Alligator mississippiensis: one gene and its partners. The protein of the gene in region 1 binds, or shares a complex with, the protein of each later gene. Links are inferred from orthologs where the notes say so. Each region holds a gene or a part of one and is shown in the gene's direction. Other genes may lie near its edges. The genes, in order: NTRK2, NTF4 and FRS2.

Region 1 (7,659 bases):
TCTAAAATGACCATAATTGACACATTTTGTTACCTCCACTGAGATCCAGCTGTTCTTTCCTCCCTTCCCATGCCCCTGAAAAGTAAAGTTGCCAATACTGAATACAACGTTGATAGATAAAGCAGCAATCAGAACAGGAAGAAGGCAGGCAACCGGTATGAGGAAGTTATGGGTTTTTGATACTTTTTCCTTCCTGGAGATCTCATCAGTGGGTCACAACCTGTGCTGAATGGAGCTGAGAGGAAGCAGAATTGTTCTTTCTTCTTAATAGTGAGATGGGACATCTTTTAAAATAATTATGCCAACAAGGGTAGAAGTTATATTCCCAGGTCAGCTTACACCTAGGAAATAATTAGGTACACTATGTGCTAATGCAAGAGAATTCCCAACAGTAAGTCTTTTAGGGCTTTTTCTATCCCAGCTTTTAAAGATATCAGTTAAATCCACAAACATTTTTTTGGATCCTTTGGCAATGTGTTAACAGTGGTTCCATTAACGACAGTAAAACAACCAAGCCACTCCCAAATATAGACTGAATTTTTAATAGCACTGATGGAAGTACTCTTATTAATTGGGATGAACATGCCTGATTTTGAGTGGTGCACATTAATGGATTTATACTGGTGCAAAGCCAGCATAAGAGAGACCCCCACAAATTTTGTATTTGGAGAAAATGACAAATTAGGGACAAACAGGACCACTATCAACCCTCAACATTTCTCAGAGAATGCCATGCACTCTTATCAAACTTTAAAATGAAAAGGTGTGTATGGTCTGCAGATCTTTGGAAAGGACTCATGAATCAACAGTTGTCTACAGGCCACAGTTTGGAAACCACTGCTCCAGAACATGAACATTTACAAAGGGTAGAGTTATCACAAAACAGATATGAAGGCAAGACACAAATCATTTTCTGTTAAATCAGTGGCCTTACCAATATCTGTGAATTCTCAGATATTTTACTGTGGAAGCTGGTGTATAGAAAGAGTGATAAAGGAGATGCCAGTTCGCTAACACAAAATCCCCGTTACAAACAGTTCCTGTACAACGTATGCGTTCATCAAAGGCAGTAAAAGGCAAAAGAAACACATGTATAAAGGTTGTGAGCTGAACAACCATTAAAAAAATAAAAATTCTATTTTGCAACCATGTTCAATGTTTTGAAATTAGTTTTAATTCTAAAATAAAACTAAAACAAAACCTTTCAGAAGTTTTCGCAAAATGGATTTATGTCTAAACATCTGTTTTGATCTTTTTCTCTTCAGAAAGTCCAGCTGGGATCTAAGAAACAATCATATGAAAACTTTAATTAGAATAGGTATGTTTTTTGTAAACCATTTCTGTTTAGAAAAAAAAATGTATACTTTGACCAAAAAAAAGAAGTCTTCAGCAAAACATTTGCAACCAGCTATTGCTGTAGGCAGAAATATTTTCTACTTTATTTTATGCTATTAGTTCATTTTCTATTTTTTTTCAGGTTGTTATATGGTACCCAATCCTCATATTATTCTTCAGGACTATTTTGAGATTGTTCCCATTATTGTTTTTAGAAATGACATAGTTAAGCACTTGGCAAGAAGGGGATGTACTCTGAAAAGAAGATTTATGTCTGGATAACAATTTTTATCACCTTTATGCAGATTGAAAAAAAATTAATTTAACAAGATAACATTGTTGGCAATATTTTCAATTATGTCTGTTTATCATATGCTCATTCATTCCATTAAAGAGAGGTATAATGTTACTAATATGGTTATGACTATTCTAATAAGATGATGTAATTTTTATGTGGTAGTGATTACGCCTGTGTTAAGCCTTTGAGCACATCCAGTGCGAATCAAATGTTTCCTGAAGCCTAAGTAGATTCAGGCAAAGCTAAGTGCTTATGCAATTAATAAAAGTGCAGTGCCAACTTGACTCATGAGTACTTTCTAAACATCGTGATCACCTCTTGTTTTATGCTTCCTTAACAATGCCTATGTAGCTTTTTTCTCTCTAATTCCCCAGTGAAATGGGAGTTGGTTACATCAAAGGACTGAGCTGGAATATACATATATGAAATTAAGATAAAAAAGGCCCTCAATGTCATTTCTATAAAATGGTGAGATTTTACCTAACAGATTGGAAGCCAACATGGAAGGTGACTGGTCACTGGCTATTTGGCAGAAGATCAGGATTGGAGAAGGACAGAGAACAACTGCAGAATGAATGGTATGAGACCAAAACTTTAATTTTACATAAACACAATTCAGCTTGAACTGGCCACTCCCAGACATACACCTACTAATGAGGACCTGTTAAGTGCCTCACTACCTGCAGAGATGTCCGATCTGGCTGCACGTACAGTAGAAAATGTGATGTGCAAGCCCAACATCCAAAAGACATGAAATCTTTTGTGCAGGCTACTACATAAGGCCACTCTAAAAGAAATGACATTCAAGGGCCCAGAGTTTAGCACATCTTGTGCTCAGCAGGTGGATTGCTCAAGACTGGCTACCCTGAGATTTGTATTTTAACAAACCCAATGAAGACCAAACCAAACCATGAAAGTCCCTTTGTTTGGTGGACACAGGAATTTTCTTCTTTTTCATCTCCCACTGTGGAAAAGTCGGCCTGAACAGCTATAATTAAACATGGGAGCTGGATCCTACTCTCGTGTGATCAAGGCTGGATTAACGCATGGACCCACAGGGCCTGGGTCCAGGGGCCCCTGCCAATCAGGGGCCCCAAGGGTGCAGTAGCAGCATGGCCCAGGCAGCCATCCTGGCTGCAGGCATCTGGGGCAGGCAGTGTGTTCCTCCTTCCCTCAGGCTGGGCCAGGGCCAGGGGCTAGGGCCAGGTGCCAGGCTCCTTGGAGGCAGCGGTTGCTTCCCAGACCTGTCTGCTGCCAGAAGCCCCATGGGCAGCTCTGCTCTCACTCCCCACCATTGCAGGCGGCCACTGGCATCAATGCCACTGGGACAAGACAGGGTGGGACAGTTCCGCCCCATCAGGCAGGGCAGAGGGGTGGGCTGGCATGCAGTTGGGGGTGGTACAGAGCTTGTGTCCTGGCCTGCCCTGCAGTGCTGGGTGACTGCAGCTCTGGCTGCACAAGATCTGCCAGGCAGAGGGGCCCAGCCAGACTGGGTCTGGGGTCACCTTCACCAGTGGTGATGCATAGGGGGTGCACAGGGGTGCACGTGCACCCCCTGAGAGCACTGGTGCACCCCTTGACAACCAGCATTCCCCACTTAGGTGACAGGCAGGGAGGGCAGAAGGGAGCACTGGTGCCCCCCCTGTGAGTGCCAGCCAGGGAGTGGGGGCACCAGGAGTAGCACAGCTGGCACTTCTGGGCACGCCGCTGGCACTTTCAGGTCAGCATGCCGCTGGCACACCTGGGCATGCTGTTGGCACTTCCGGGTCAGCACGATTGGCTGCTGGTTGGCGCAATTGGGGTAGGCGCAGTCAGCTGCGGGGGGACCCCACTCCCGGTTGCTGACTGGCCGCTGAAGCACACCCCCTGACGCCAGTCGCCCATGGCCTTCACTTCAGCAGCACTCAAGCCCCCTGACTTGTCCCGGACATGCCAAGGAGGTGGGATGGGCCCAGCCACAGCCCCCTGGTGGGCTTAGAGCCAACCTGCCCTCGCCAAGAGGTGGGGGTCCTCTAATTTTCTGTTTGTCCAGGGTCCCAGTAAATCTTAATCTGCCACTGATGGTGAAACAAGATTCCTAATGAGAGGACTTAACAAAAGGCCGCAGGGCTGGGAACAACACCCCGTGCCCAGTTCCCTTGAGGGGCATGAGGGTGGCGAGGTGTGGAATCAGGCAACGCAGGAGCCAAGGCTTTCTGCAGGTGGCACCCGGGGTGGCTGCAGGCGGGTGCAGTGCAGGCTGCGAGGCACGGGGTGGCGCCTCAGCTCTTTGAAGTCTGAGGCACTGCGGTGGATTTTCTTTTAAATGACTGCGGAAAAAAAAGGGGTGATGGGAAGGGCGGGGGGGTAGTAAGGGAGAAAAACCCAACCTCTGGAGCCACTAATGAAAAGCCCAAATTCCCAGACAAGGGAATGTCCGTCCTTCCTCAGGCACCTGAGGGCTGAGAAGGGCTCCCTTTGATTAGGAGAGGGGAGCAGGTCCCTGGGGAGCACGGGGGGCGGCGGAGGGGGGATGCGGCAGCGGGCTCGGGCTGGGGAAGGCGCGGGGCCGTCCCTCCTCCAGCCCAGAGGGTGCCTGAGAAGCTGGCGGGGGCCCGGGAGTGGTGCAAGGCGGGCGGGGCGGGGGAGATGAAGAGCCCCTGAGCTGTCCAAAAAAAAAAAGATTCACAGAGCATGAGGGGCGGGTGGGACTCGAGTGCAGCCCCCCGTGCTCAGCTGCACAGCCCCAGAGCGGGGGGCTTCTGGGCAGGGGCTGAGCTGGAGCCCGGGCGGGAGGGAGCTGCGGGCGGACGCTGCCCCCTTGCCAGCCCCAAGAAGGGGCACGCGGCTGCGGGCTGCGCTCTCTCCGCGCGCGCGGCGCCGCCGCCTATTGGTATCTCCTTGCAAACCGCCCCCCCTTGTTGCTTTTGTCTTGGTTTTTTTTTTTTTTTTTTGGCTGATTTGGTGGAGTTTCTGCCCCTCTCTGCGTCAGCCCCACGTAATCAGCTCGCCGGCAGCGCCCGGGCTGGGGCTTGCAGCGCACGAGCCCGGGCTGCTTTATTATCAGGCGGAGGGAGGAGACGGGGCGGGAAGCCGCCGGCCCCGAGCCCCCCTGGCAGGTAGGAGCAGCCGCCGCCGCCACCTGCCCCCGCCGCCGGGCTCTGCAGCATCCGCGGCGGCAGGTGCTGCGCGGGCGCGGGCGGTGCCTGGGGCCGGGCGCTGCTCCGCGCAGCCCATGTGAGGCCGGGCCCGATGCCACGCTGAAGCTCCGCGCCCAGGGAAGAAGGGGCCCAGCCATGGGGCCGTGGCGAAGGCGGTGGCAGGGCCCCGGGCTGTGGGGCTTGTGCTGCCTGGTGCTGGGCTCCTGGCCGGGGCTGCTGGCCTGCCCCACGTCCTGCCGCTGCAGCGCCTGGCGCATCTGGTGCACGGAGCCCGCGCCGGGCGTCGTGTCCTTCCCGCGGCTGGAGAGGAGCGCGGAGCGGGACAACATCAGCGACATGTGAGTAGCGGCCGGGGCGGGGCGGGGCACGGGGCACGGGGCACGGGGCACGGGCGGGGAGGGAGCCCCCGGGTCGTGCTGCCCGGCGCGCGGCCCTGCTCTGCACGTCTGTCTGCGCCGCGGGGCAACGGCCCCCTCTTCCCCGGGGCCGGGGCCGGGGCCGGGGCCGGGCGGGCAGCTCCGGGCGCCTCAGCAGAGACACCCGCTGCCCCTCTGCCTCGCTCGCCCCCGAGGCTGACGCTTTCCTTTCGGGATCACTCAAGCACCAGTTCTATCTACCATTAGCCCTAGGTATAGATACATATATTAGCCCTATATAGGATATAATATAATATAATATAATATAAACATAAATATGTGTATATATTATATACACATACAGATAGATAGCTAGATAGATATAGAGTATAGATATGGTATGGAATATCCATGGATATGGAGTATGGAATATGGTATGGATATGTATGGGTAGGGAATAGATCTATATATATCTGTGCATGTGTATAATCATATATATACACTTATATGTGTATATATATTAGATATTAGACATATATATATATCAGATACATATATGGCTAATATATTATATTTTATATATATTATATATATGGCTAATACTAGTCTTCCCTGCAGCCCTCTACACACACACACACACACACACACACACACACACACACACACGTATGTTTAAAATACATGTACATATATACATACATGCACACGAATATAGATATATGTATATTTGTGTTCATGTATGTATATATATGGTGTGTGTATTATATATATATATAATACACACACACATACACAGTAGTGTATATATACATACACGCATATGCACACAGAGGCACGCACACATTATATACATTCCCACTCACATATATATAAACAGGCACACACATCTACATATATGTGCACATGCCCATGCGCACACACGCACACATGCACACACAAGAAAGAACAAGGAGGTTTTGCTGAACACCGTTGAGATGATTTGGGAAGTGATCCGTCAAGCTGAGAAGTTCCGTGCATTGAAATGCACTTGTTCAATAAGAAACAATGCAAGAGTTGGAAGCCTAAAAGCCCAGCGTGATTTAATTTAGGGTTGACTTTCAAGAGATATCATTTCAAAGCCATTTAGATTATAAATCTTAATTGCCCCCAGCTACAATTTCCTGGGAATAAGTTGGATGATAAAGCCATACAGCCCATAGGTTGGTACTGATTTTAGTACATGACCAATGTGTAATAATAATAATAATAATAATAATAATAATAATAAATCCTTGACAGATTTTGCTAGGAGTAGGCAATTCATTAGCTATTGTTTTATCCCTTTCTCTTACAAATTGTTGTAGATCTCTAAGTAATTAATGCACACTGTCCATCTTTTTGTTGACAGTACATTGAATAGGTGATTCTTTCCCCTTGCATCCAACCTCACTTGGTAATATGCATGGACACTGTTTTGCACTTGCTCCTTGTCTGTAAGGTAGCTTAGAAAGGCTGCAACATCAATTCTATGTATCAGTTCAGAATCACTCATTTTCCCCTAGTTGTACATAACATGTATTTCCCTTGTAAATTCCCTCATCATTTATAAGGCTTTGACAAGTGTTCTACCTGAGCCATTATGTTGTTTGAATTGCTGTTAGCCAGACTGCAGATGACACTCAAGTAGTGGGGTCTGTACTTGTTTGTGGTCCAATCCTGCATTTTATACTCAGGCCACATTTTCATTGAAGTCAGTGTATTTTGTCTGAGAGAGGCATCAGAGTTAAAAGACTCTGAGTTTGAATCAAAGAATAGAAGTTAGAGATGGAAAAGACTGCTATGGATGCCTTGCCTACCCCCTTCTTCTCTTTCCCCTTCCTGTTCCTGGATTGTTTTTTACAGTGTTTTTAATATATAACATACTTTTTTTTTGCCAAAAATTGCATAGAAACCTCACCATCCCCTTTCCCTTTTTAGAATGAAAAATCCCATGTAATTCACTATAACTTTTGATTTATTCTTCCCATTTGGCTTTGTGCTGCTCATTGTAGACCCTTTGCTGCTTTTACCTATGTGTGTGCATGGCAGAGGGAAAGGCTGGTGGCATTTACTGTAATTACTATTTGCAGGGCCTACATTAAATAGATCCTAGTATTTTTGTATTGACATGAGACAATGGAGCACCATTTCTAGTCTGGTATGGCAAGGATCATTTCAGAGCTTATTCCACATTTTTTGTAATGTGAATTAAAAAAGACACTTTATGCCATGCATTGCTACTTGTTTTTTGCTGCTTTGCCTTCCTCCTTATTATCAAATAGCTTTAATTTAGAGGTGATGTCTGGTGATAGGCCAGAAATAAAACAAAATAATAAATGCATATATATTTTGCAAGATGGGCCAACCTAAAGCATGTTTTCTTGTGTTACACTTTGAAAACTTCACATTTGTATTAGCTGATTTTTCTTTTCTGTATTTTTCGTCAGTACCAGCCGCCTTGTTTTTCACTGCATCACCCTGTGGCATTACATCTTGTTGTGATTGGTGATGT
Region 2 (7,933 bases), on another chromosome or scaffold:
AGGAGGCTAAATATAACCCTGGACAGTGGCCAGGGAGCATGTGCTGCCTCGCCCCAGCAGGGGTTGCTGTGGGGGTCATGGGGCAGGAGCTGGGGGTTGGGAGCAGGATGCCCAGACCTCTCCTGACCCCAGCACAGGGATGGCCCAGACACAGGCAGCGAGTGGAGCAGAGAGCAGGACCCACAAAACTGAGGAGTCCTGGCTCCCAGCCCCCTGCTGAGCCCCTCCAGAGCTGCGAGGAACCCAGGTGTCCTGGCTTCCAGACCACCCCCACCACCACCAGCACGCCAGACCCTATTGCCCTGATTTTTTGCAGGAGTAGGGGGGCACGTTCTTCCTCCAAAAGCCAGGGGCAGGTGATGGGGGTTGGGCAGGGGAGGTGTGGGCAGTGAGACATGGAGGCAGCAGCTGCTTAAAGCATCTGCAGAACATCTGCGGGGAAGGAGGGGGAGGCGCATCTGGCTGCGAGGTACCAGCAGAGGGTTCCTGTGCCAGTGGTAGAGAGGATGTGGGTCCCAAGCCCTGCACACCCAACAGGGAGGGAACACTGAGCACAGAGCCCAACACCCAGTGCCGCCACCCTGCAGTGATGCCCTTACCTGCTGGAAGCAGGCCTGCACCAGGTTCTTGGAGAAAAGGTTGTGGATGAGGTCCAGGAAGGTGTCCAGGCTGGAGACCTCCTTGCTGTGCCTGCCCATGCCCAGAGCCTGCTTTATTTTGGGGTTGCCCAGGTGGATGGTGAGGATCAGGATGACACCCAGCATGGTTGTCAGCACCATGGTGCACACACAGTACACCATAGCCCACATGCCCATGCACCTGCTTGACCTGGTGTCTAGCCCTGCCAGTCCTGTGCCACACACACCCCAAGCCTGGCTATGGGCTGGACGTGGTGCGGGACCCTGGGATGCAGCCACCTCTGGGGTAGGCACATTACAGTCTGGTTATACGACACCTCCTCAACCAATGCTGAGATGCAGCTGCCTTTGGGGTGGGGTAAATTAGAGGGAGGCTATACAGGGGCTCTAATCTGTCCAAGGAGATGCAGCCGCCTCTGGCTCTTCCTCCCTGGTTGCAATTAGACTTCTAAGGGCTGGGTTTAGGGTAGGTCAAAAGTCGGAGGTCAGGGCTGGAGAGGGGAGGCAGGGGTTCACTCCCTGGACCTGTTTCTGCTTAGGCAGAGGAAGCAGCCAGACTCGTTCCTCAGGGTGAATGGGGTAAAGGGAGATGCTGTGGGCCCCACCCACTGTGACCTTGCCCACCCAGGAGGCCTCCCTGGTGCCCCTCACTCCCAACCAGCAGCCCCTTGCCCCCCAGCCCTGCTGGTGCCCTCCTGACCTGCAGCCCCCTGCCCCCCTAGCTCTGCCAGTGCCCCTCACTCCCAACCGCAGCCCCCCGTCCCCCCAAGCCCTGTTGGTGCTTCTCACACCCAACCAGCAGCCCCCTGCCCCCCAGCCCTGTGGGTGCCTCTCACTGTGTAGCAGCTGTAGCAGCCTGTGCCCCCCTCTCTAAAGGGTCAGGTCCTTTCAGGAAGCCCCAGGCCCCAGTCCTGCTCTTCATAAAACCAGTCTGAGCAGAACCAGCTGCCCCCAGTGCAGGGGAGGAGATTAACTCCTTCCCTCCCAGAGCAGGCAGCCAAGGGCTGGCTGTATATACCCTCCACCCCCATGGGCCCATTCCACTCCAGAGCTGACTGCATGGCATGGCTGGTGGAGGGGGGGTTCCCCTCACTCATACCCCCCACAACCCTAGAGGGAAGCTGGTGTTGGTCTCTCCTGGGGGGAGAAAAGGAAGGGAGAAACTCCTCACTAACCCCATGGGGTACAAGTGGACCTAAGACCAAGCCCCACTGACCTCCTCCTTGCAGGGATGAATAGAGACCCATCACCTGGGGGGGGAGGGCGCGTTCTGAGACTGCCCCAGTCTCCCCCCACCTTCAAGGCCCGTCTTCCCCCCCTGGCTTTCCTTATGGCTTTAATATAAAACACTATGGGACAAGGGGCCATAAAAAAGCCCTGGTGGGTGAGAGGCTGGTTGGTCGTGGGGGTCCAGGGGTTGGTGAGTACCTGTTCCCCACCCTGGTCCCCACTGGCTGTCCCTAACCCCTCCTTGCTCCATCTTCCCCAGCTTCCAAACCTCAGCCTTGTTTTTCCTATTAGTCCTGTTTTAAAAGATAAAACAGCTGTCTCTATTGGGGGGGGGGGGGGAGAGAGAGAGAGAGAGAGAGAGAGAGAGAGAGAGAGAGAGAGAGAGAGAGAGAGAGAGAGTGCGTGTGCTTGTGCATGTGCATGTGCATGTGCGTATGCATGCACATGTGTTGGGGGGGGGTTCTACCCTGGCTCTGCGAAAGCAATGGGGTCTAGGGGTGGCAGGAGCACAGATGCCTGGGTTCTAGCCTGACTCTGGAGGGGCCAGGGGGGGCCAGGGCTGGGGGTTGGGATGAGGAGCTGGCAGCCCGGTGGCCTGGGTTCTGTCTCTGCTGGGAAGGATCCAGGGGGCCTTGAGTGAGGTCATATTCATCACTTACAGAGGTCAGGATCCTTCTAGCACCTCCTTCTGGCTGTGGCTGCTCCTTTTGTCACCCCAAAATTAATTCCACTCCCCCCACACAATGCCCAGCCACCAGGAGGCAGCACCAATGCTCAGCACTCACCTTCCCTCAGCCCCCACACCCTACTCTGCAATTGGGGGCAGGGGGAGAGGGGGGGAAGGGGGTGGGGGGCTGTGAGTCAGGAGTGAGGGGCACTGGCGGGGATTTTGGGGGGCAAGGGGCTGCAGGTCAAAAGTAAGGGGCACAGGCAGGGTGGGGGAGTTCCCTGCCTTGGGCACTGTGCTGGGACTCTGGCGTCCCACCCCGTAAGCCCCATGGAATGCAGCCTGGGGGGGGCTGGGGGTTCGTCGGGACACGTTGGCCCCACCCAAGCACTGCCTGAAAATGGCTCCTGGCCAGGAACGCACAGGCGGGGGGAGGGCCTGACCCTCCGCCCCCTAGATCCATCAGCCCGGCATGTGGCACAGACCCCCAAACCCCTTAGCACCGCAGCACCCTGCAGCTTTCCCCCCTTGCCCCCATGTGCACCTACAGACACGCACACACCCTGCAGACACACACGTGTATATACCAATGGATACACCCAGAGACATGCATTTGTGTATACACTGGCACACATGTATACACCGACACATGCACACACATGCCCAGCACACACACACAACTGTGTATAAATCATACATATGCATGCATCTGTCACACATGTATACACTGATGCACACACCAGACGCACACATACATGTGTATACACTAACACATACATACCCCAGACATGTACTCATATGTATACAACAGCCCCCCAAACATGCACATACATGTATACACCCACATACATACATGTATACACCAACACATGCAAACATGCACCCCCAGACATGCACACACACACCCCCCCCACAGGTGCACACAACCTCCCACCTCACCACCCAGCCCCGCCCCACCCCGCCCTTGTCTCCAAGTACAACCAAATGACCAGCAAACATTTTCCCCCCCACACCACCATGAGGGACAAGCCCAACCCATGCCCCCCCCTCAGAACCCCTTTGCACCTGGACACACACACACACATACAACTTTATCTTCCCAGTGTACAGCAGGCTTATGCACACACACACTTGTTTGGCTTGTCCCCTCCAGCAGGGGGCAGCACATGCAGGCTCATACATGGAGTGGGACCTATGTGCTCCAGAAGGGGGGCTCTCACACACACCCCTCCCTCCAGCAGGGGGTCACACACACATGCCCTCCAGCAGGGGTTTCTCTCTCTCTCACACAAACACACACACACTGTAGGACAATGCACACATGCACAGACAGCATATGCCAACATGTGTACAGGTCCAGAGTACATGAAATACACACGCAATGTATGACACAAAACATGCTCATACAACATGCAACAAAACACACACAATATAGGACACAATGCCTCATCGCACCCCTCACACACACACCCTGGGCATAGATGGCCTCTGACGATCTGTTAACAGAGTTTTTTGGCAAGACTTTTACTTATTTTATTTATTTACTGGAATCCCCAGGAAAAGCACCAGGAGAAGCCCCCATAGGCCCTTCACCCACTGCTCATTCTTCTAGTTAGCCCACCCCATAGTGACCCCCACCCCTGGGACCCACATCCTGGGGGACCTTTTAATGGAGTTTTTGGGAAGACATTTCCATAGGTTTTTTATATCCCCTAGAAAAGCACTGGGGGGTGTTCACCCACTGCTCGTATGCATAGCTAGCCCACCCTGTAGTGACCCCCACCCTGGGGATCCACAAACCCAGGTGATCTTTTCATGGGGTTTTTGGGAAGACATTTCCATAAGTTTTTTCCCTCCAGAGAAACTCCAGCAGGGGGAAGGCAGCTTAAATGGTTTCACCTACTGCTCCGAGATGGTGTGTGAAACGCCCCCCCCATCCTGCCCCCCCCCGGGATCCCTGGCTCTGGGGGGCTGCAAGAGGTGTGAAGGGTATGTCAGGCTCAGGTAGGCCGGACTCTCTCTCATCGCCCCCTCCAATAAAACCAGCCTGGCCAGGCTGGGTAATAGGAGATGCACCCACGCCCCAGCTCAGCCCCCCCCCAAACGCACACACACAGAGCAGGACAAAAGGGAGATGAAAAGAGGAGGCCAGACAGGTCTGGGGTCCCTGGGGGGTGGCTGGCAGAGGAGCCGGCTGCTTTGTTCTCTCTGGCCCCCAGACGCAGGGGGGGTCTGGGGTTCAGGTTTCACGGGTGAGAAGTGATGGGAACTGGGTGTAGGTGGGGAAGGGAGGGGTGGGTAGGGGGCTTCAGGGGGCGGGCCCCGGCGCTGCCTGGCTCAGGTGAGCCAGGCCCTGCCCTCCTGGGGGGAGCCTCTGGTTTGGGCTGGGCGGGGGGCACCTGTGCCCCCTTGGCTCTGCCCTCTGGTGGCTTTGGCATGCCCCATGGCAGGGGTGGGGGGGAAGGTTCTCTGCCCCCCTGGCCTCCGACCCCATCATCACCCAGTCGCCCTGGGACCTTAATCAAAGCCAGATCCCGGGGAAGGAGAGGGGGTGGGGGAGAAGGATCAGGTGCCCCTATTGTGCCCCCACCCAGAGGCAGGTGGGGTGGGGGAAGAAGCAGGCAAGTGGGCATGGAGTACAGGACTCCCCCCCAGGTCCCTCCACTGGCCAAGCCCCCTCACCCATCTCCCCCAGCCCCCCTACCCCATCTGCCTCCTCCCTTCTTCCCCCTCTGTTTCTTCCCCAATAACTCGGAGATCAAAGCCAGGGGGGATGCCAGGCCCCCCCCATCCCAGGCCCCGCGCCCCCCCCTTCTCCCCGCCCTGCCATTCAATCGCTGCCCAGAAAACCGAAACCAGCCCCTTCGGCGGCGACTTTATTAACTTTTCATGTTGAAACCCAAAGGCTCTCTTGCGCACGCTGGGGCTAGGGCCAGGGCCAGGATCTGTGCCCAGTAACTGGGGGAGTTGTCTGTCTGTCTGTCCGTTCCCCATCCCACATGCCTTGACACCTCCCAGAGGAGCTGGGGATAGAACCCAGGCATCCGGGCTCCCAGCCTTTGGAGGGGGAAGAGAAGGCAAAGGAGATCAGGTAGGTGTGATGGGGAACCTGTAGAGTGGGAGCAAGGGACTACGGGTTGGGGTACCGGCAGAGCTAGAAGGGGGTGCAGGTTGGGAGTGAGGGGCACCTGGGGTGTGCAGGTCAGGGATGAGGGGCACCAGCGGGGCTGCATTTATGGCAGGGGTCCTTGGGGAGTTCCTGTGTGCTCTGGGTCCCTGTAAACTCATGCTGGGGGTTGGGGGGGGTTCCTCCCTGCCTGAGCCTGGGCTGTGGGGAGCTTCCTGGCAGGCGGAGGGGTGGGGGATTCCTGGCCTCCCCCCTCCCTCACTCACCTTCAGGCAGAGGCCGCCCTCAATGGGAAGCAGCTGGTGGAGAGGGATGGAGCCTCTGAGGTCTCCCAGGGAGGGGCTGCAGGGCCTGGGCTGCATTAGCTGTGAGTCAGGCCCCTGACAGATACACAGCCAGACAGACAGACTCCCCCTCCCCCCGCCCAGGCTCCTACATGGGGGCTGGGAGCCCTGGACACCTGGGTTCTCTCCCTGCTCTGGGAAGGGTGTGGGGCCTGGTGAGCCTGGGGCCCGGACACCTGGGTTCTTTCTCAGCTGGGGGGGGGCTCTGGTCACAGCAAGGCCCTGGATGCACCTTCAGCTCTGGTGGGTTTGCCCCCTCTCCAGTACCCAGGCCTGGCACAGGGTCCCCACTCCTCACACCTGTCACCCTGACCCCAAGCAGCACAGATTGACTCCTCTTCCCTGCCCGCGGCCCAATCCTGCACACTCGTCCAGAAACCTTGCCTGCTCCTGGTGATATGCCCTGGCAGGGCATAGCCGGCTGGGGCTAGCAAGGGGGCTGCAGGTCGGGAGTGAGGGCACCTGTAGTCTGAGGGGGGGGCGGGGGGGGCAGTAGGGCGGGAGGAGAGGGGCACTGGGAAGGGCGGGGGCTATGGGTCGGAAGTGAAGGGCACCGGCAGAGCCAGGGGGACAGGGCCTGCGGGTTAGGAGTGCGGGGCACCGGCAGGGCTGGGGGAGGCAGAGGGCCGAGACAGGCCGGCACTCGCTGCAGTCGCTCGCGGCGGGGGCGGGGGCGCTCGCACGGATCTGTCAGCGCCCCCACCCCAGCGGGGTCAGGGCGCCAGGCATTGTGGGTAACGCGGTATGCAAATCGCCCCGGGCCGGCCCCGCCCCCCACAGTTCTGGGAGCAGGGCGGGGGTTTCTCGCAGTCCCCCCGCGCTGGGCGTCCTGGCTGCCTCCCCCCGGCCCACACCCCATAGAGCCAAGCGCAGCCCCGTGGACACGGCCCCCCCGGGGCTCGCTCCAGGGGCTGGAGCTGCGTGGACAGCCCCCGCCTCTAAACCCCATGACACAGACCAGCCCGGGCCCAGGCGGGGGTGGACGCGGCGCCCACCCCCAGCCCATCCCCCAGGACTCGGCCCCCCAGCTCCAGCGGAGCCCGGCCCCCGTCAGGGCAGGTTGGAGGCCTCTGTCACTGGTGGTGGATTCCAAAGCTGGCGGCTGCGGGAAGGGGGGGGACGGGGGCAGTGAATGGAATCCAGATGCAGGCACATCTGGGGAGGGCGTCGGGGTCGAGTTGGGGGCTGATCCGACCCGCCTTTGAAACTGAAACCCAGCAGGCAGCTGTCCCGGGACCTCCCCCACATCCCCCATGCACCCAGCTACCTGTTCTCAGCCAACACGGGACGGGGGGAGGGGGACTGGGTACCAGGATGCCTGGGTTCACCCCCAGCTTTGCAAATACATCTAGCGAGTCAGGGCACAGGGATCCAGGAACCCTGGGTCCTCACCCAGCTCTGAGGGGGCTGCTTACAGCAGGGGGTGGGGGGAGCCCAGACACCTGGGTTCTCACTCCAGCCAACAGCTTTTCTGTCTTTCTCTTCCCTCCCAGGTCTTCTGAGTGACAGCCCCAGCTCCAGCCCCCCTGACTGGCTGAACCCCCCCAAACACTCCTCACCCCCCAAGTGTGGTAGATGCTCCAGACCCCCTGGGAGGGGCCCCCTAAGTCAGGCTGACCTTGAGACCCCCCCACTTGCTGCTGAGCCCATGGGGTGCCCAGGCCAGGACTGGCTGGTTGGTGAGGCCCCCAGGGTTGTGGGGGTCCTGATACAGAGCCCTGGTGCCTGGTAGGACCCGGGAGGGGCGGGGGGGCAGGGAGCAGAGCCTGGGGGACCCCCAGCCATCACCTGCCCTGGGGAGATCAGGAAGAGGCTGCAGCACTCTGCTGGGCCCAATACCGGAAGGGACATGAATCGGACCAGGGCCCGGGACTTCTGGGAGCAACGTGGTCGAGACCCCCACTAAGCTGGCAGGTAACACCTAAGG
Region 3 (7,813 bases), on another chromosome or scaffold:
GTAGATGGATCACTCAAGCATGCAAGGCTGTTTAAAGAATCAGGGCATTAGTTAAATGAATAGTTACCAAATTTTATATATATTTTTTTTCAAACTGAGTTGGAAATATCCAGCATTGTTTTAATGTTTCTGGAAAATTCAACACAACTTCTAATAATCGTGGTTTGAGTTTTAACCACATACTTTATTTTTGGAATGAGGGAATTAATATCGCTGGAAGAGAATGTTTTTGTGTCAAAAAGAATTGCCCTTTGCTATTTTCAGTACTGCTCAACATGAAATTATTTCTGCTGATATAAGAGCCTCTGAAAACAGAAATTTCTACTCAGCATGTAATTATATTAAAGGGATAGGGAACTTAAAATTTGGTTTTATCATAAGTTCTACTGTTGAGTGGAAAAATCTTTGTGAGTAACATATAATTATTGTTCATGATAAACCAGACTTAATTGTATTATGTTTTGGAAATATTTTCATTGACTTTAAAACATCTATTTCATCCTTCACTGTTCAAATAAATGGTGAGAAGCTCCTCAAAAACTGTTAACATACAATACTCTCATGTCTTTAGAAAGGTTTGCCTTTTGTATTTAATAATATAAAATGCATGTTTATTACAACTGGAGAAAGCAATTATATAAAAAAGAAGTGTTCTTCTTAAACTCTCTTTTTTATAGAATGGTGTCTTATCCATACTGCAGTAGTTTGTATGTTTTTTCTAATAAATAGCAAAACTCTCACTAACTTTAACCATTCATGACTGGGTCCATGTGTATAAAGGATATTAACTTTTATTAATTTCAGTTCTATGGAGTTCTCTTTAAGGGTTTAGGATTTTCAAACATTAAATTGGTAGGCAGTTCATAAATTCCACTTGCAGACCTTTCATCTTGGTTATTAGCAAAATCACCCTATTCTCAATTCCTACACATTATGGTTAAAGAAATTAGGGGTATCATATAAATGTCTCTCTGAAGGAATTAAAAAATGGATGCCATATGTATTCAATAACAAATGTTTGATTAATAGCTCTGACTCCTACTGTCAGTTATCTTCTGTAATCCATTATAAAAGCATATTAGGAAGCACACTGTCTCTAAGCATTTCTGTATATTTGCTTCTGTACAGACAATTAAATGCTAATTCATATAGCAACTTGGAGTAATTAGTCTTAGCATTTCACTTGTCATCTATATTTCTATAGGCTCATCAAGGAAATGAACAGGCAACCTGGTCAAAGCCAAATTAAAAGAAAGTTATGCATACATTTGGCGAGAAAATTTTCCAGTGTGACCTTAAAGCAAAGGTACCACAAGTACACATGTTCACATACAGCCAGTACAATTGCAAGAAGAATGGAACACATTGCTAGACAAAAGATGAGAGGAAACATTATTGGAACTGATGGGTGAAGTATATGTATAATGCTCCCCAAGACAGAGTCAGAATTTCCTAGTGAAAGCCTCTCACCCAATCCCAATTATGAAAGCACAATGTTTAGAGGTATAAAGATCAGCCCCAATAGGATTTTTTTAAAGATCTGGGCAGTTAGACTACAATAACGGGAATCTGGTTATAAAATGTGTTATAGGATTTGTGGCATGCTGTGTGGGGGTTGTGGATATTGTCTCAAATATACTGTACTAAAATTGTGAAGAAATAAGTAGCTCAGGATTTGATCTAATTCATCTCAAATGGAGACTACAGTTGAGAAGTGTACACCTATTTAAAAAGGGGCAAAATGTGGTTAGCAGACACAGTGGATGTGCTAATACTTGACTTGATTTTATTACAGCTATAACTGAAATAAATTCTATTTTATTCTATTCTGTACTGGTTCTTATGCTACACTATTGCCTTAAATGTCGGGAAACACATTCAATGAATTTAGTTGGTGGAAATTGCCTTTACAAATATGGTTCAGGCAAAGCCAATGAGTTGTAAACCATTGGTGTGCAGTGGGTATATTAGATTATGCTGAAAGATGTAAGAGGCAGGCAAGCCTCCAAATGAAGCATTCTGACACCTTTAAAATGGGAAATGATGGTTTATGATCAGTTTCCAGTTTGAAACTGAACCCAAAGAAAATGTGCATTGTTTATAATTGGTGTGGGTGGAGGGGTGGGGATCGCTGAGGGGCGGAGGGGCAATTTCTACTGACAAAAAGGTAAATTGGAGCTGTGCTGTACCAGCCAACTCCCCAGGCACTCAGATGTGTAGACTTCTCTTCTCCTATTATACAAGATTAATTTGTAGGTTTGCCAATACTGGAAAACCATCGCATAGCTTGGGTGAGAGAGGGAAACCATTTAGGGGCCAGCAAAGTGAGATTTAGCTGTTTTGGAGTTGAAAATGGCTTGCTCCTATTTTAGCCTACCCATTTTTCAAAACCCTCTTCAGAATGGACACGGATGCCAGTGGTTACAAGTCAGGGACATTATTACCACAAAAACAAAAAGAACTTGAGATGGTGGTGGCTTTTTACTTTAGTTTAAGTTCATCTTGGAAGAAATTATTGTATCGCTTGAAAGGAACTCTGGAGTGGTAAATCTATAGAAGGTGGTCACCACTGTTTGTACTGGAGATAATCTGTTAGCAAAGCAGACCATTCACCCCTGCAACAACCCTTGAGGAATCCTAAGAGACAACTTGCAAGGGGTTAGACAGATTGCAGTGCCATGATTTCACAGCCATATGCTGACATGGGCACAAGCACGATAATAAGGGTATCTTAATTTGCTGGCTTTTTTAGTAGACGAATCACAAACATTGCCCTTAATAGAGCAATGAAAAGGCTGCATAAAGCATGAGTGTGCTTTGAAAGATATGTGTTTCCTCTCTTCCCTTAATTTGCAGGAATGCAAATTCTCTTGATACAGGGGTGTAGGTTGTAGCCGTGCTGGTCTAAGGACATAGGCAGGCAAGGTTCTTTGGGTGAATCTATGTTTTATTAGACCAACTTAAATAGTTAAGCTGGTCTAATAAAAAGGTATCAGATTCACCCAAAGAACCTTATCTGCCTAATTCTCTTGGTAAACTGTAACCTCTGTGACTGGCTGTGGGATAGTTATGTAGAAAGCAGGGGAATAACTTGTTGAAGCAGCCAGGTGAGACAGCCATCTTGCAAGAAACACTTGAGCTACTTTCTAAAGTATGACAGCTGCAACGGAGGGAACCACTGACCCAAACTCAGAGCATTAACAAGTTTCATTGAAGCGGGCAGAATCGAGTTGCTGAGTGAAAGTGTAAGAGGCTTGGTAGTGTGTGGTGGAGATGCATGTCAGCAACCTGAAGAAGATAGAGGAGGAAGCAAAAAAGTCAGGCAGAGAATAAGAGAGAAGCAATTGTAGTACAGCCTGAGAGGAGGATGAAGGTGAGCTTTTTGGGCAGTATGGGATGCAAAGGAACTACGGCAAGTTTGATTCCTTTTGTGTCCTGGGGCACGGCACGCATTCTTTTGCAAGTATATGGAACTGCATCCAAAAAATACACAACTCCACCATCAGTTTTTCCTCCTTGTGGAAACACCCATCCCACAGGTTCCCAAATATTGACTGACTGGATCAAAAGAGGTAATTTCACAAACACTTATAAGCAGTTCTAGATTTCAAACTCCTGAGGACAGTGACCCATCTCGCCTGTTAACAAGCACGCTGACAAGACAGTACCTGAAGAACCACAGGACAGTCCTACAGAAAGGAAGCAAGAAAGACATGGTCCTAAACTTTTTTAAAAGCAGGAAGGTCCCAAAGGTCATGCTGTGATGAGGACCAGAGGCAGCTGTGTGCTACTTCCCTGTATCTTTCTTGCAGTTTTCCAAACCTCTTTACACTTCTCCTTTTAGTGCCAGTGTTGTCACCTCCCTTTTTATAAGAAATCATGTGAGAAACTGGGGGCGGGGGGGCTGAAATAGCAGAGCACCGCCTAAAATGACAGCGGGATGTCAGCCAAGGAGAAAGGCCCTGAGACCCACCCCCCCTGCTCTCTCCATGTTGGGTAAAACCAGCTGCAGCTTTTGCCAGGTTGCCCCAGACATGGCCTTGGCTTCCCCGCGGCCTCTGATGCAGCTGCCTAGACTTATTTCTGCAGGCTTAGGAGCTGTGGAAGGCGGCTGGCCAATCCAGCCCCAGGCGCCACCACTTCGGCCCGCAGAACCGATACTACTGGTGCCCTATCCGCGTGCCGAAGCAGCGAGAGCCAGCTCCGTGTCCCTGGGCGGGCGGGCACGCCGTCCGGCACCGAGGCCCTCGACAGCTCCCCTCTGCCCCGCAGCACCGGGTCGCACGGGCAGTGCCTGCCCCGCGCTCCAACTCCATGCAAAAGAACAGCCAGTCACTGAACGCGCTCACTGAACGATTTGCATACGCGGTTGTCATGGCAGCCACCACCCCCCCCCCAGTCGCTCTCCCTTCCTATTGGCTGTTCCCGCGCCGGCCGCTTCGGGCCCCTTGGCCGTGTCTCCCCGCCCTGGCCCTTTCCCGCTGCCCCCGGAAGTAGTTGTGGGGGTGCCTCGGAAGTAGTTCGGGCAGAGTCCGGCCCAGAGCGAGGCCCTGTTGGTGCCGCTGTTGGGAGTTGCTGTTGGTAGCGGCGGCGGCACTCGGAGCCCGGCCCGGCCCCGCGGCCAGGCCCGGGCTCATGGCGGAGGTGAGTGCCGGGAGGGCCCCGTGCGCAGGCTCGCAGTCTCCTGGGGCCGGGGCTCCCCCTGTGCCCCCCACCCGTGAGGCGCCGGCGGCCGCAGCCCGCGCAGGGCGACGGGAGCGGAGCCGGCCAGGGCGGTTGGCGGGAGGCGACGGGCGAGAGCAGAAGCCCCGGTCTGGGGAGCGTTTGCTGCCGGCTCAGCTCGAGCCGGGAGCCTGGAGGGGCAGGAGCGGGCCCCCTCGCCCTGTCTGCGCACACGGAGGCCGGGAGGGTCCTGGTGTCCCGCCCTCCCCTTGATGCTGTCCCGGAGGTTCCCCAGACCCGCTTGGCGGCGGGTGCCCTGGGGCTGAAGGGTCCTGGGGGAGTGGTGCTGCAGGTCCCCCCGCGGCTGCGGTGCTCGCACGGCTTGTCCGCAGGTGGCAGTGACCAGGGAGCGCCTGTGAGGCGCCTGAGTGATTAGTCACAGTGCAACATCGTGCTTAGCGGTGGGGAAGGAGGTAGGACGAGTCAGGCTTGGCATCAGCCTGGCCTCTGTGGTGCTCTGTGCTGCTGACCAGCTCTTTTTGGGCGACTTTTTTTATTCCTTTTTATTTTTTCCCTAGCAACTTCTTTTTGAATGTGCTCTTCAAATGCTTTCTTATTCTGCTGGACAGGCTTCAGGAGAAGTGATGTCTATTGACTGGGTCAAGCTGTAGGTCCTTTTTGGTTGGTCTCTTGTGTCACACTGGGCTTCAGGCAGGAACTGGCCCCCTTTCTTCCCAGTTGCATAGTGGCAGAGAGTGCATGCTGACAGACCAAACTGGGTATGACCAGGGTTTTTTCCTTCCCCACTGTTTCTCTCTCACTTGCAGCCTCTAGCATTAAGGTCTAGGGCAGGGGTTCTCAACCTTTTTTGTACCAGGACCCATTTGTAAACATTGATGGCTAGTCCCAACCCAGTGCTTGTCACTCCTGATCCACTGCCCCCAGACCCCAGTTCCTCATTGTGTGGGGCAGGGGGGCCCAAGCAGCCCCTTGCAGGCTGGAGCTCTGCCAGCTTGCAAGGGAAAAGCCACGGTTTCCCATGTTTTTCTCCTTTAAAGGCGAATCCATTATTGATCCATTTTTAAAGTTTCTTCTTGACCCTTTCATATATTCTTGTGACCCACTTTTGTGTCCTGACCCATGGGCTGAGAAATGCTGGGCTAGGAAGTTCTGATTCAGAGGCTGCACCCCTGACTCCCATGCTCAGTAGCTACTGATGACTGTTTCCTCCAAGAGTTTATCCTCTCTCTTTTTTAGTCTGGCTAAGCTGTCAACTTGCGCAACATCTCATGGCAGTGAATTCCACGCTTCAATGGCATGCTGTATGAAACAGAGCTTCCTTTTGTTCATTTGAAACTTATTACCTACTCGTTTCATTTTGTGACCCTCCTAGTTCTTGTCTTGTGAGAGGGTGAGTAATAAATCTCTCTACTTTCTCTTTGCCATTTAGTATTTTGGTAAACCCTGATGTCCTCCCTCAAGCATCTCTCTTCTAAACTTAATAGGCCTAGTCTGTTTAATGTCTTCTCTTATGGAAACCCCACCTGACTGCTAATCATGTGTATTGTCTTTCTTTGGATCTTCTCTGGTTCTTGTGCCCTTTTTGAGGTGTGGAGACCAAAACTGGGTACAGTATTCAAGGTGTGGATGCATTGTGAATTTATGAAAGAGAAAGCATGCACTTTTTTCCTGAATAGTTGTCGATTTCAAGCTGCTTTGATATTGGCAGTTTCTTTACACTAATATTCTTCTGGATGCAATTTAGTAGCTGAGCAGTCTAGTTTCTAGAAGGGGAAAAGCTATATGGGTTTTTGTATGGTTCCGTGGTGCATTAAAATGTTTTGCTATTAAGATGTATAGGTTCAGTTCCAGAAAGTGCCCAATATCAGTACTGAAGTTAGCTAGAAGTGGAGTCCCATATACATATTCCTCAGTTTCCACTGCACTGAAAACACTCTTTTCTCTCTCCTTTTTTAAAAAGGAAATGCATGTTATATTGGTAGCAATTACCCATCAAACTCTAAATTCAGTCCCTTTCTCATTTGCCTTTCATTTGATTATTGCCCCCTGATTAACATGTGCTTCTGTGTCAAAAATGTGTTGGAAGTGCTTATTAAAACAGTATTCCAGTAACCATATTCATATGTTTAATTTTTCCTTCCATGATTTTGCTTTCTTTCCAGTTCAGCGTCTTAATTTAAATTTTGACCATTCTTTGTATCCACCAAAGACTGTAATCTTTTCTATGCAGCCTCTTCAAGTGTAGTAATTCTATAATGTGTTGAAAAAATCCTAGATTCTGATAATATGGAAAATAGTTCTAAAAAAGATGTGCATAGATTCCAAACTTATTGTTTAAATATTGCATAGCAATGTATGTATCTCTCACTCATGTAACAAACCATGGTAGTGTTATAAAGGGGAGAATTTATTTTATAAATGTTGTTTAGCTTTGTACACAAAATGGTCATTTTTGTTGTTTTGAACTGCTGCTGTTTTATGGGACTTCTCCACAAATGGTCTTCAAGACTGTGAATTTCAGCTTAGCTTGGTGGAAAGAAATGTTAGGTCAGTTCTACCTGGAAATCAATCGTATAAAAGAAATGTGGATAAAATACACTGGCTGTGAGTAGCAAGGCTAATTAACCAAATAAAAGTTAGAATGATTCTGTTGGGTAGTAGCTGTGCCTAGAGATGACCTTTACTAAGTTAAGACTAAAACTAAGTTCAGAGCTCAGTGAAAATAGATGTTAGTTCTTAAGTGGCAGATGCATTGGACAAAGAGCAAATTCTCAACATTTTCTCAAAAATGATTTGTGCGTGTGTAGTTATGTCTAAAAGTATTTTCAATAACCAGATTCTATTCTAGTCCATTTGTTAAGCAGCCTTTAAATAGCTCTAGCCTGTTTTACCTTACATTCAGTTATGTGCAAATAGGTGCTCTGCTATTCATTCTTGTTTGCCACTTTGCAGTCATTGATACAAACTCTAGAACTAGGTTCAGACAAGATTAGCTTGCTAATAATACTTGACCAGAAAAAAAATGTTTAAAATCTATTTTTCTTGTAAACGTGCTTAACTTTACACGGCTTAGTTCTAGTGAAATCAATGAAGCGACTCAAGTTTAAAGTTCAACTGTGCACACACGCAC

The links.
Region 2: the proteins of NTRK2 (region 1) and NTF4 are in contact, whole or in part, in a crystal structure (PDB 1HCF), measured with the Homo sapiens proteins. The link is inferred for Alligator mississippiensis from reciprocal best matches to the Homo sapiens genes NTRK2 and NTF4. Residues at the interface, in NP_001018074.1 of Homo sapiens: Phe291, Glu293, Thr296, Ser297, Asp298, His299, Cys302, Pro304, Thr306, His335, Val336, His343, Gly344, Cys345, Asn350, Thr352, His353, Met379, Gly380, Trp381, Pro382, Gly383; in NP_001382418.1 of Homo sapiens: Gly81, Val82, Ser83, Glu84, Thr85, Ala86, Ser89, Arg90, Arg91, Gly92, Glu93, Leu94, Ala95, Asp98, Ala99, Ser101, Gly102, Trp103, Thr105, Tyr135, Phe137.
Region 3: the proteins of NTRK2 (region 1) and FRS2 are in contact, whole or in part, in an NMR structure (PDB 2MFQ), measured with the Homo sapiens proteins. The link is inferred for Alligator mississippiensis from reciprocal best matches to the Homo sapiens genes NTRK2 and FRS2. Residues at the interface, in NP_001018074.1 of Homo sapiens: Pro498, Asp499, Val501, Ile503, Gly504, Met505, Thr506, Lys507, Ile508, Pro509, Val510, Ile511, Glu512, Asn513, Pro514, Gln515, Tyr516, Gly518, Ile519; in NP_001036020.1 of Homo sapiens: Val26, Asp27, Asp28, Asp29, Gly30, Tyr59, Leu60, Cys61, Leu62, Arg63, Arg64, Tyr65, Gly66, Tyr67, Asp68, Ser69, Asn70, Leu71, Phe72, Ser73, Gly77, Arg78, Ile86, Ala88, Lys90, Phe98, Gln102, Met105, Gln106, Ser109.

Annotation. Positions count from the first base shown.
Region 1 is NC_081826.1:203,483,795-203,491,453, forward strand, and holds the start of NTRK2 (BDNF/NT-3 growth factors receptor), read left to right. Parts: upstream 1-4,431; 5' UTR 4,432-4,908; coding exon 4,909-5,111; intron 5,112-7,659. UniProt on the Homo sapiens protein: Receptor tyrosine kinase involved in the development and the maturation of the central and the peripheral nervous systems through regulation of neuron survival, proliferation, migration, differentiation, and synapse formation and plasticity.
Region 2 is NC_081828.1:39,901,560-39,909,492, forward strand, and holds the start of NTF4 (neurotrophin-4), read left to right. Parts: upstream 1-4,914; 5' UTR 4,915-5,626; intron 5,627-6,638; exon of another isoform or gene 6,639-7,065; intron 7,066-7,499; exon of another isoform or gene 7,500-7,920; intron 7,921-7,933. UniProt on the Homo sapiens protein: Target-derived survival factor for peripheral sensory sympathetic neurons. May promote ameloblast differentiation and subsequent reduction in proliferation of ameloblasts.
Region 3 is NC_081827.1:69,859,329-69,867,141, forward strand, and holds the start of FRS2 (fibroblast growth factor receptor substrate 2), read left to right. Parts: upstream 1-4,509; 5' UTR 4,510-4,644; intron 4,645-5,919; exon of another isoform or gene 5,920-6,073; intron 6,074-7,813. UniProt on the Homo sapiens protein: Adapter protein that links activated FGR and NGF receptors to downstream signaling pathways.